2 linked regions of the Xenopus tropicalis genome follow. The protein of the gene in region 1 interacts with the protein of each later gene in a pairwise test. Links are inferred from orthologs where the notes say so. Each region holds a gene or a part of one and is shown in the gene's direction. Other genes may lie near its edges.

What was found.
Region 2: the proteins of fbxo7 (region 1) and psma3 interact in binary tests that used the Homo sapiens proteins (3 or more experiments, as listed by UniProt). The two-hybrid records come from large-scale screens. The link is inferred for Xenopus tropicalis from reciprocal best matches to the Homo sapiens genes FBXO7 and PSMA3.

The regions. Positions count from the first base shown.
Region 1 is NC_030679.2:7,492,479-7,497,067, reverse strand, and holds part of fbxo7 (F-box only protein 7), read left to right. Parts: intron 1-1,590; 5' UTR 1,591-1,609; coding exon 1,610-1,731; intron 1,732-1,807; coding exon 1,808-2,081; intron 2,082-2,754; coding exon 2,755-2,970; intron 2,971-3,048; coding exon 3,049-3,190; intron 3,191-3,666; coding exon 3,667-3,750; intron 3,751-4,589. UniProt on the Homo sapiens protein: Substrate recognition component of a SCF (SKP1-CUL1-F-box protein) E3 ubiquitin-protein ligase complex which mediates the ubiquitination and subsequent proteasomal degradation of target proteins and plays a role in several biological processes such as cell cycle, cell proliferation, or maintenance of chromosome stability.
Region 2 is NC_030684.2:103,574,326-103,579,353, reverse strand, and holds part of psma3 (proteasome subunit alpha type-3), read left to right. Parts: coding exon 1-62; exon of another isoform or gene 63-77; intron 78-239; coding exon 240-341; intron 342-450; coding exon 451-524; intron 525-2,446; coding exon 2,447-2,519; intron 2,520-3,534; coding exon 3,535-3,600; intron 3,601-5,028. UniProt on the Homo sapiens protein: Component of the 20S core proteasome complex involved in the proteolytic degradation of most intracellular proteins. This complex plays numerous essential roles within the cell by associating with different regulatory particles.

The DNA.
Region 1 (4,589 bases):
TTAGATTGTAAGCTCACTGGGGCAGGGGCTGATGGGAATGGGATAGGGACCTTAGATTGTAAGCTCACTGGGACAGGGACTGATGGGAATGGGAGAGGGACCTTAGATTGTAAGCTCACTGGGGCAGGGACTGATGGGAATGGGATAGGGACCTTAGATTGTAAGCTCACTGGGGCAGGGGCTGATGGGAATGGGATAGGGACATTAGATTGTAAGCTCACTGGGGCAGGGGCTGATGGGAATGGGATAGGGACCTTAGATTGTAAGCTCGCTGGGGCAGGGGCTGATGGGAATGGGATAGGGACCTTAGATGATTGTAAGCTCACTGGGGCAGGGGCTGATGGGAATGGGATAGGGACCTTAGATTGTAAGCTCACTGGGGCAGGGGCTGATGGGAATGGGATAGGGACCTTAGATTGTAAGCTCACTGGGGCAGGGACTGATGGGAATGGGATAGGGACATTAGATTGTAAGCTCACTGGGGCAGGGGCTGATGGGAATGGATAGGGACCTTAGATTGTAAGCTCGCTGGGGCAGGGGCTGATGGGAATGGGATAGGGACCTTAGATGATTGTAAGCTCACTGGGGCAGGGGCTGATGGGAATGGGATAGGGACCTTAGATTGTAAGCTCACTGGGGCAGGGGCTGATGGGAATGGGATAGGGACCTTAGATTGTAAGCTCACTGGGGCAGGGGCTGATGGGAATGGGATAGGGACCTTAGATTGTAAGCTCACTGGGGCAGGGACTGATGGGAATGGGATAGGGACCTTAGATTGTAAGCTCACTGGGGCAGGGACTGATGGGAATGGGATAGGGACCTTAGATTGTAAGCTCACTGGGGCAGGGGCTGATGGAATGGGATAGGGACCTTAGATTGTAAGCTCACTGGGGCAGGGGCTGATGGGAATGTGATAGGGACCTTAGATTGTAAGCTCACTGGGGCAGGGGCTGATGGGAATGGGATAGGGACCTTAGATTGTAAGCTCACTGGGGCAGGGGCTGATGGGAATGGGATAAGGACCTTAGATTGTAAGCTCACTGGGGCAGGGACTGATGGGAATGGGATAGGGACCTTAGATTGTAAGCTCACTGGGGCAGGGGCTGATGGGAATGGGATAGGGACCTTAGATTGTAAGCTCACTGGGGCAGGGACTGATGGGAATGGGATAAGGACCTTAGATTGTAAGCTCACTGGGGCAGGGACTGATGGGAATGGGATAGGGACCTTAGATTGTAAGCTCACTGGGGCAGGGGCTGATGGGAATGGGATAGGGACCTTAGATTGTAAGCTCACTGGGGCAGGGACTGATGGGAATGGGATAGGGACCTTAGATTGTAAGCTCACTGGGGCAGGGACTGAAGGGAATGTGATAGGGACCTTAGATTGTAAGCTCACTGGGGCAGGGACTGATGGGAATGGGATAGGGACCTTAGATTGTAAGCTCACTGGGGCAGGGACTGATGGGAATGATGCAGAATATGTCGGCGCTATATGAATAAAGGATAATAATACAATATGTGTTGCCTGAAGCGATAGCCAATCAGAAGCCGCTCGTGTTCCTTTACTGAAGCCTTTCTCTTCCCTCAGGGACGCGCAGCCAATAAGAATGAAGCTGAGGGTGAGAGTGAGGAAGCAGACCAATCGCTTAGAGCTGGAGGCGGAGAGTCCGACCCTGGGAGACTTGCGCAGTAAATTATCCTCCGTCACCCTGCCGGCTCTGGGCTACAGGTAATGCGCTGCCCCCCTGGGAACAGACATACAGCAGGGACACTTACCCTTTAATTATTATATCCTTCCTTTGCAGCACTGAGGCAAATTTCACCATCACACTGAATGGCAAAGATGCCCTGACTGGGGATCAGAACACTCTGGAGTCTGCGGGGATCATCTCCGGGGATCTGATTGTTGTGGTACTGCCGGACTCTCAGCTGCCCCCGCCGCAGCCAGCTCCTGCTCCGGCCCCCGATAAGCGGGATCTTGGCTGCCCCCTGGTGGATCCCAGCCAACCCTGCAGCTCGACTAACAAGAGGCCCAAGAGCCAGTCAGATGATAGCACAGGAGCCCAAGCCATGGCTCAGGTAATGTGTGCTGAGATACTACTGGTAGTACTGGTATTCCTGGTTTACTCAGTAGTAGGGATGGGTGAAATAATTCTCTACTCAGTAGCCATGGGGCATGAGACATGGGGCATGAGACATGGGGCCGGAGACATGGGGCAGGAGACAAGGGGCATGAGACATGGGGCCGGAGACATGGGGCAGGAGACAAGGGGCATGAGACATGGGGCAGGAGACAAGGGGCATGAGACATGGGGCATGAGACATGGGGCTGGAGACGTGGGGCAGGAGACGTGGGGCAGGAGACGTGGGGCCGGAGACGTGGGGCAGGAGACGTGGGGCAGGAGACGTGGGCAGGAGACGTGGGGCAGGAGACGTGGGGCTGGAGACGTGGGGCTGGAGACGTGGGGCAGGAGACGTGGGGCAGGAGACGTGGGGCAGGAGACGTGGGGCAGGAGACGTGGGGCAGGAGACGTGGGGCAGGAGACGTGGGGCAGGAGACGTGGGGCAGGAGACGTGGGGCTGGAGACGTGGGGCTGGAGACGTGGGGCAGGAGACGTGGGGCCGGAGACATGGGGCAGGAGACATGGGGCCGTAGCCATGGGGCAGTAGCCATGGGGCAGTAGCCATGGGGCAGTAGCCATGGGGCTAGAGACGGACAGGCTTATCTAATGCCCATTGGTTTTGCTGCCAGGCTGCCCAGCAAGCCCCTCCCTCAGCGGAGGACGTGGCCATGGAGGATGGGATGTCGGGCCCGGCCTGGGAGGTGATGCTCTGCAGCGAGGCACTAGATGGGAAAATCCCCCACTCCCTGGAGGTTCTGTACCAAACTGCCGGCTGCACCGGCGCCAGCGACGCGTTCATAGTCGCCATCCACCTACTGATGCTGGAGACTGGCTACTTACAGAAGGTAGGGAGTCAATATGGCCCCCCCCATCCCAGGGATCTGTGATTGGTGGGTCGGTAACCCTTCCTTGTCCCCCCCCAGGGTGCTGAAAGCAAGGTGCTGTGTATGCCGCAGGATTGGCGCAGCGGGGGGGCCTACAGGCTGCACTACACTCACCCTCTGTGCGCTGAAGTCTCGGCCACCTTGGCTTGTTTGCCGATGGGCAAGCTGGTCATAATCAATGGTGAGTATTACTTGTACTTTATCCTTCCTCTTCCTCCCAGTCTGCCAGCCCCCTGCCTTCATCTGCTGTCTGTACTGCCCCCTGCTGTGTGTGTGGCACAGGAGCATGTTAAAGAGTTAGTGCCCCACCTAGTGTACATGCATTGCATTGCAGCCTTGTATTAAAGCTCCTTCTCATTGCTCTGGTATATTCCCCCCCCCCATTCTGTTTATAGGAACCATGTGACACCAGGTCACCCATAGCACCTATAAACTCTGAATTCTAGGGTGACAGTTGCTCTTCCTGTTTGTATTCATTGCCTACAGCAGGGGTCCTCAAACTTCTTAAGCAATGGGGGGGCCAGACCACCACCTACCCCAGGGGGCTGGAACCGGCCCGTGGGCCACAGTTTGAGGACCCCTGGCCGACAGCATAGGCTCACATCTTGTTGCAATATGGCTGCCGCCATCCTCATTTCTCCTCTTTTGCACGTGCAGCCACCCTGAAGATTAACAGCGAGATGAAAAGTGTGCGGAAACTTCAGCTGTCGACCAATTCCTACATTTCCTACCCCGAGACAGGTACGGGGCAGATTCCGCCGGTAAAGGGGGTGCGGGGGCCAAAAAAATTGTCAGGAAAGGGTTAACGGATGAAGAGCCGGGATCAGAAGTTTATGTCTAAACACAAGAGCCATGCGTTTTCTGTAAACGATATCCTTTTAAATGGTGCTCTGTGATGTCATCAGTTATAATTGGTGCTCAGTGATGTCATCTGTATCACATGATGTGTTATAATAAATAAGGTACCCCCTGTTGTAAAATAGTCACCTTATATTCCGTTCCATGATCTGTATAAAAGCACTCGGCCTTTGGTGTTGTGCCTTTATATGGGCACAGAACCCCTCAGTGACTGCTAATATCCTTATCATTTACAGTAGGGGGTACATTATCCCTTATAATACATGAGTGATACTCAGAGTTCCCTGTATAACTCAGCCTGCAGCCTTGTGCCTTTATATGGGGGGCACAGAACCCCTCAGTGACTGCTAATATCCTTATCATTTACAGTAGGGGGTACATTATCCCTTATAATACATGAGTGATACTCAGAGTTCCCTGTATAACTCAGCCTGCAGCCTTGTGCCTTTATATGGGGGTCACAGAACCCCTCAGTGACTGCTAATATCCTTATCATTTACAGTAGGGGGTACATTATCCCTTATAATACATGAGTGATACTCAGAGTTCCCTGTATAACTCAGCCTGCAGCCTTGTGCCTTTATATGGGGGGCACAGAACCCCTCAGTGACTGCTAATATCCTTATCATTTACAGTAGGGGGTACATTATCCCTTATAATACATGAGTGATACTCAGAGTTCCCTGTATAACTCAGCCTGCAGCCTTGTGCCTTTATATGGG
Region 2 (5,028 bases), on another chromosome or scaffold:
CCAAACTTTATGAAGAAGGCTCTAACAAGCGCATCTTTAACGTAGATCGTCATGTCGGCATGGTAAGGATATAATTTCTGTTTATTAAAAACATAAGATTACATTTTTTCAATGACAGGCTAATAAAAGTATATGAAATTCTTTCATCTTATTGTGTAGGAGTAACAACAGATGCATTAATATTATATAGGAGAATACATTACTCTGCATATATATATGTATATATATTGGTTTTGTAGGCAGTGGCAGGTCTTCTGGCAGATGCACGGTCTTTAGCTGATATTGCACGGGAAGAAGCCTCAAATTTCCGGGCAAACTATGGTTATGACATTCCTTTAAAGGTACTTTTTTTTTTTCCTTATTAGTAACTCCTTGTTTTTTTTTTAATGTAATTGCTAACTGTTAAAAGTAATTTATGTTTCCGTTTGTTTTCCTCATGTCGTATTTCAGCATCTTTCAGACAGAGTAGCCATGTATGTGCATGCATACACACTGTACAGTGCGGTCCGACCGTTTGGATGCAGGTATGATTAATACATGATCCCTTTTATCGTTTTATAAGCACACTAATTGTGTATCCAAATGTTCAATATAGGAGCTATCCTGCCTCATTGTTTAGCTTGACTTTTTCCACTTAAATTCTCTGTATTATTATAGTATATAAATATTCTGTTATTGCTCCAATAAAATGAGAAATATACAATGTGAGTTTGCTGTGAATGAATAACATTGGCATGTTTCCAGACTGTTGTCAGTATTTGAGTCTGTATGTAATGAGGGATAACAGACTACATAGAATGAAGTAGAAAAATGCACTAGACACCATCAGCTGTTTAAGGTTGTTTTCATTCTTGTTTGACAAGAATAATGTTTCTTTAGGCTACTGCAACACAGGGTTGATAAACACAGGTCCACACAGGTGATGCTACCCCTATGCTACCAGCCTTCTTATGTGTTAGCTTCTGGAGCCACTGTGTTGGTCTGGGTGCTTAGAAATTGTGCAGATTTCAGCTCTGATACTTCTGCGTTTTGGCACCAAAATCCACACATGAGAGGGCTGATGCTAGTATAGGGGTAATTCTGAGATAAATGCAAGCCATGCCCTGTGGGGCAGTGGCCTTACAGGAGATTGTAGGTAGAATCACTAGGGTGGGGTTGTCAAGTTGTTAAACACCCATTTAATTACAGTCTGTTAAGCCAGCTGTATACAGGCCAATAAGAACTGCCATCCTGGCTGATATCTGGCCACAAATCAACATTGTTAGCACTAGGATCAGCCTGATTTGTCCCAGCACATGGGTGGCTCTTAGGCCCAGATCCACTTGTTCAGCAACCTCCACCAAACGAATGCATCTAGCAGGGTATGGCCAGCTTTTATTCCTACTCCAGGCTGGTAATCATCATAAAAAAAAAATTCACTGACAAACATACTTTTCCGTTAAGTGCCGCACTGACGTATTGCTTTCATATATTCATTCTCCTTTAGGTACATGATTACTGTAAACTAAAAATAATGTTAAGGGAAAACTAGCACTGCTTCTGTGGGGAAGAATGTTTTGAAACTCTAGTAATCATTGAAATGTTTTTATGCTGTTAGAAGTCAATGTTCTGCTTTTTAAGTACTGTATATACTCGAGTATAAGCCTAGTTTTTCAGCACCCAAAATGTGCTGAAAAAGTCACCCTCGGCTTATACTCGAGTCAGATGCCATGGGTCTCTCTAGACTAGCCCCCTCTGTCCTTTGTGTGCAAATTAAGCCACCCGCAACAAGATCCTCCAGTGCCCTGGCCTGCACCCAAATTCACTATCCTCACCTGTCCCATTCTGCACTAGGCATGGCACTTTATATTCTATATAAACTATATACAGTGTTGAAGGATTGAGCTAAGGGGTGTAGTACTCTTAAGTTATCATTGTTGATACCATATTGTTTTTGTTGACCCTCTTCTCCACTTACAGAGCTAACTTACTGTTTTTCTTTGAAATAAATATTTAAAAACATACCCCACTGATGCCTCAATTAATGTAATTTTATTGGTATTTATTTTGATTATTGAAACTTAGCAGTAGCTGCTGCATTTCCCACCCTAGGCTTATACTTGAGTCAATACGTTTTTCCAGTTTTCTTAGGTAAAATTAGGTACCTCGGCTTATATTCAGATCGGCTTATACTCGAGTATATGCGGTAGTTACTTGAGGCAAGATACTACAGCTCTGCAATTTTCATACTGGGCTAATATAGTATTAGGCTATAAGGAGCTTCTTTCTTCTGTGCAGAGCAGGGAGTGTAGAACAAAGGAAAAGTCAAATAAAATATCAGCTATCCAAAGTATTCATTTATGAAAACTTGCTTTATATTATTAATAGTAATAGGGTTTTTTTGGCTATAATTATGAGACTACTGGTAATATTTATGTTTTGTCTGTTATTTGTTTTTATTGTGCAGTTTTATGTTGGGATCTTATAATGAAGATGATGGTGCTCAGTTGTACATGGTTGATCCATCAGGCATCTCCTACGTAAGTTATAGGCATGTGAAGTTTTTCAGTTTGTTGATCATGGTTAGTAATACAAGTATGGGATCTGTTATCTGGAAACCTATTTACACAGAAAGCTCCAAATAACCGGAAGACCATCTCCTATAGCCTCCATTTAAATCAAATAATTCATATTTTTTACAATTTCTCTGTAATAATAAAACAGTACTTCATCCCAACTAAGATATAATTAATCCTTATTTGAGGCAAAACAATCCTATTGAGGTTATTTAATGTTTAAATTATATTTTACAGACTTAAGGTATAGAGATCCAAATTACAGAAGGATCCCTTTTCCCCAGTCCCATTCTGAACAGGTCCCGTACCTGTAGTTATGATTTCAAAATATATGAATGAAGCCAGTGTTTTCACACTTCAAGCAATGTTTTATGTGCAGTACAGAATATATACATATATGTAAATGTTTAGAGTTTTAGAAAAGAAAATGAATGTAAACTTTAAAAGTGCTTAGAATAGCAATTTTATGTTTGTTGGGGGTGTATACCCTGACTTTAATATAAAAATAGACTTTGCCTTAAGTGACAAAATGCAGGCAGTATTATGGGATAGAGAAATAATCTCATTGCAGGAAATGGAATGGAATTTGAAAAACTTTTATGAAGAATAGTAAGACAAGTCTTCCTGCTTGCCATCAGCTGGTTCCCTTCCAGCAGGGAGAGGTTTATAGTTACTTATATTAGAAATAGAAAATCACAGATCAAAGTCTTTGTATCTAAAGATGTATTTGGTCTGTCACTGGGTGAAATTTCATCCATTAATTGTGTTCTAAAGAAAGTTTGTTTTCTTTAGCCAGAAATAAACCACCAAGGCCCTGAAACTATATATCATTAGTTTAGGTAAAATGAGACATATATTTACAGCAAAACTGTAGGTACATTTTGCAACAGCAACATATTCTGTTTGATATGTACCATGTAAGAAAATGTTACATCGTATTTAAACAAATTAAAAATCTCTTGTTTTTTGTGTATTTCAGGGCTACTGGGGTTGCGCAATTGGTAAGGCCAAGCAGGCTGCTAAGACAGAGATTGAAAAGCTTCAGGTAGGATTTTTACCCAATCAGATATAGTGTCCTGCTAGATTTAATTGCTGTTGTGTCTGCTATGCTAGAACCCCTACGGTACTTACTTCTATAAGCATAGTGCCACACACAGCCAATATAAGAGAATGTAAGAGGAAAACAAAGTGTCGAACAAATGGCTTCAATTTGGTAATTAAGCAGCATTTCACCCTAATAACCCCTCACCCAAAATGTAATGTGAGCACTGTAGTCATTTATATCTTTTATTCATATATATATCTTTATATAAATATATATCTTTTTTTTTTTTTTTTTAATACAGATAAGCCACTGATGCAGACAATGCCTCTAGATATTATGCCTAAAGGTGGCCTAAACGGCCACCTGAAATCAGCCAGATATCAATCGGGCAGGTTAAAAATTGTAGTCCGATCGCGGACTGCAACGGCTCATTGATGCGGTCCCCGAACCGACACTGCCCATAAGCATCACTATCATTTGATCGTTTGGCCCCAAGGCCAAACGACTGAATTAGCCTACATTCGCCCAATATCGCCCACCTGTAGGTGGGGATATCGGGAGAAGGGATCTTAAAGTGTATGGCCACCGTTAGCCCCCTGGCAGCCAGAATAGCAGCTCAGCACTGCTGGGGAGAAAACATGATAATCGCCATAAAACTGCTAATTTCAAGAAAACACAACAGATCAAAAAAAAAACTATAATCTGTAAAAGACCACTATGAGCAATTTTACATAAACCTTTTTAAGGGTGTTTTGTTCTCCTTTATTGTAACTAAAATAAATACTGCAATTTCGGTAGCTAGTAGCTTTGCCGATCTGCTTCGCATTTCCTCCACTGGATCACAAACTCTAGACAAAATACAGATCAGTGCCACAGGCTATGGGAAAAAAAAACCAAATAACAGAACCTAGCGCAATATTGTTAACACTCAGTACAAACACCAGGATGTTGCAACACAATTGTGTGTGTCCAGAATCATAGAAAGTCTGTGTTTTAAGTTTGTGTGTTTTAAAGTGCTGTACTGATTATTGCAAAGTGTTATTGTGCTTCCTTTGTTTTGTAATGATACAAAACAAGGTGCTATAGTGCTTTTTTCAAAAAAATATAATAAAGTGCTACAGTGCTCTCTCCAAACAACAAATCTTAGCATGCAGCTTCTCCACTCTCCTGTGGGATTAGCAATTTACAAGATTCCTGATTTCAAAACACCATATCAGTACCAACTTCAGGGTACTCCTTTTCTCTGCAAAAAACATTAAAAAGCAGGGGCAGCGCTCCTAGTGTAATTAGCCTTTATTTTTAAAAAGATTATAAAACTTATTGCAGTTGCATAAGTCACACTGCATATCAAACAATCCCTTTCTTCAGTGTTATGACGCAGATCATGGTAATAAAGCTTTGCAGTACAAAGAGAGTGCATCCACTCAC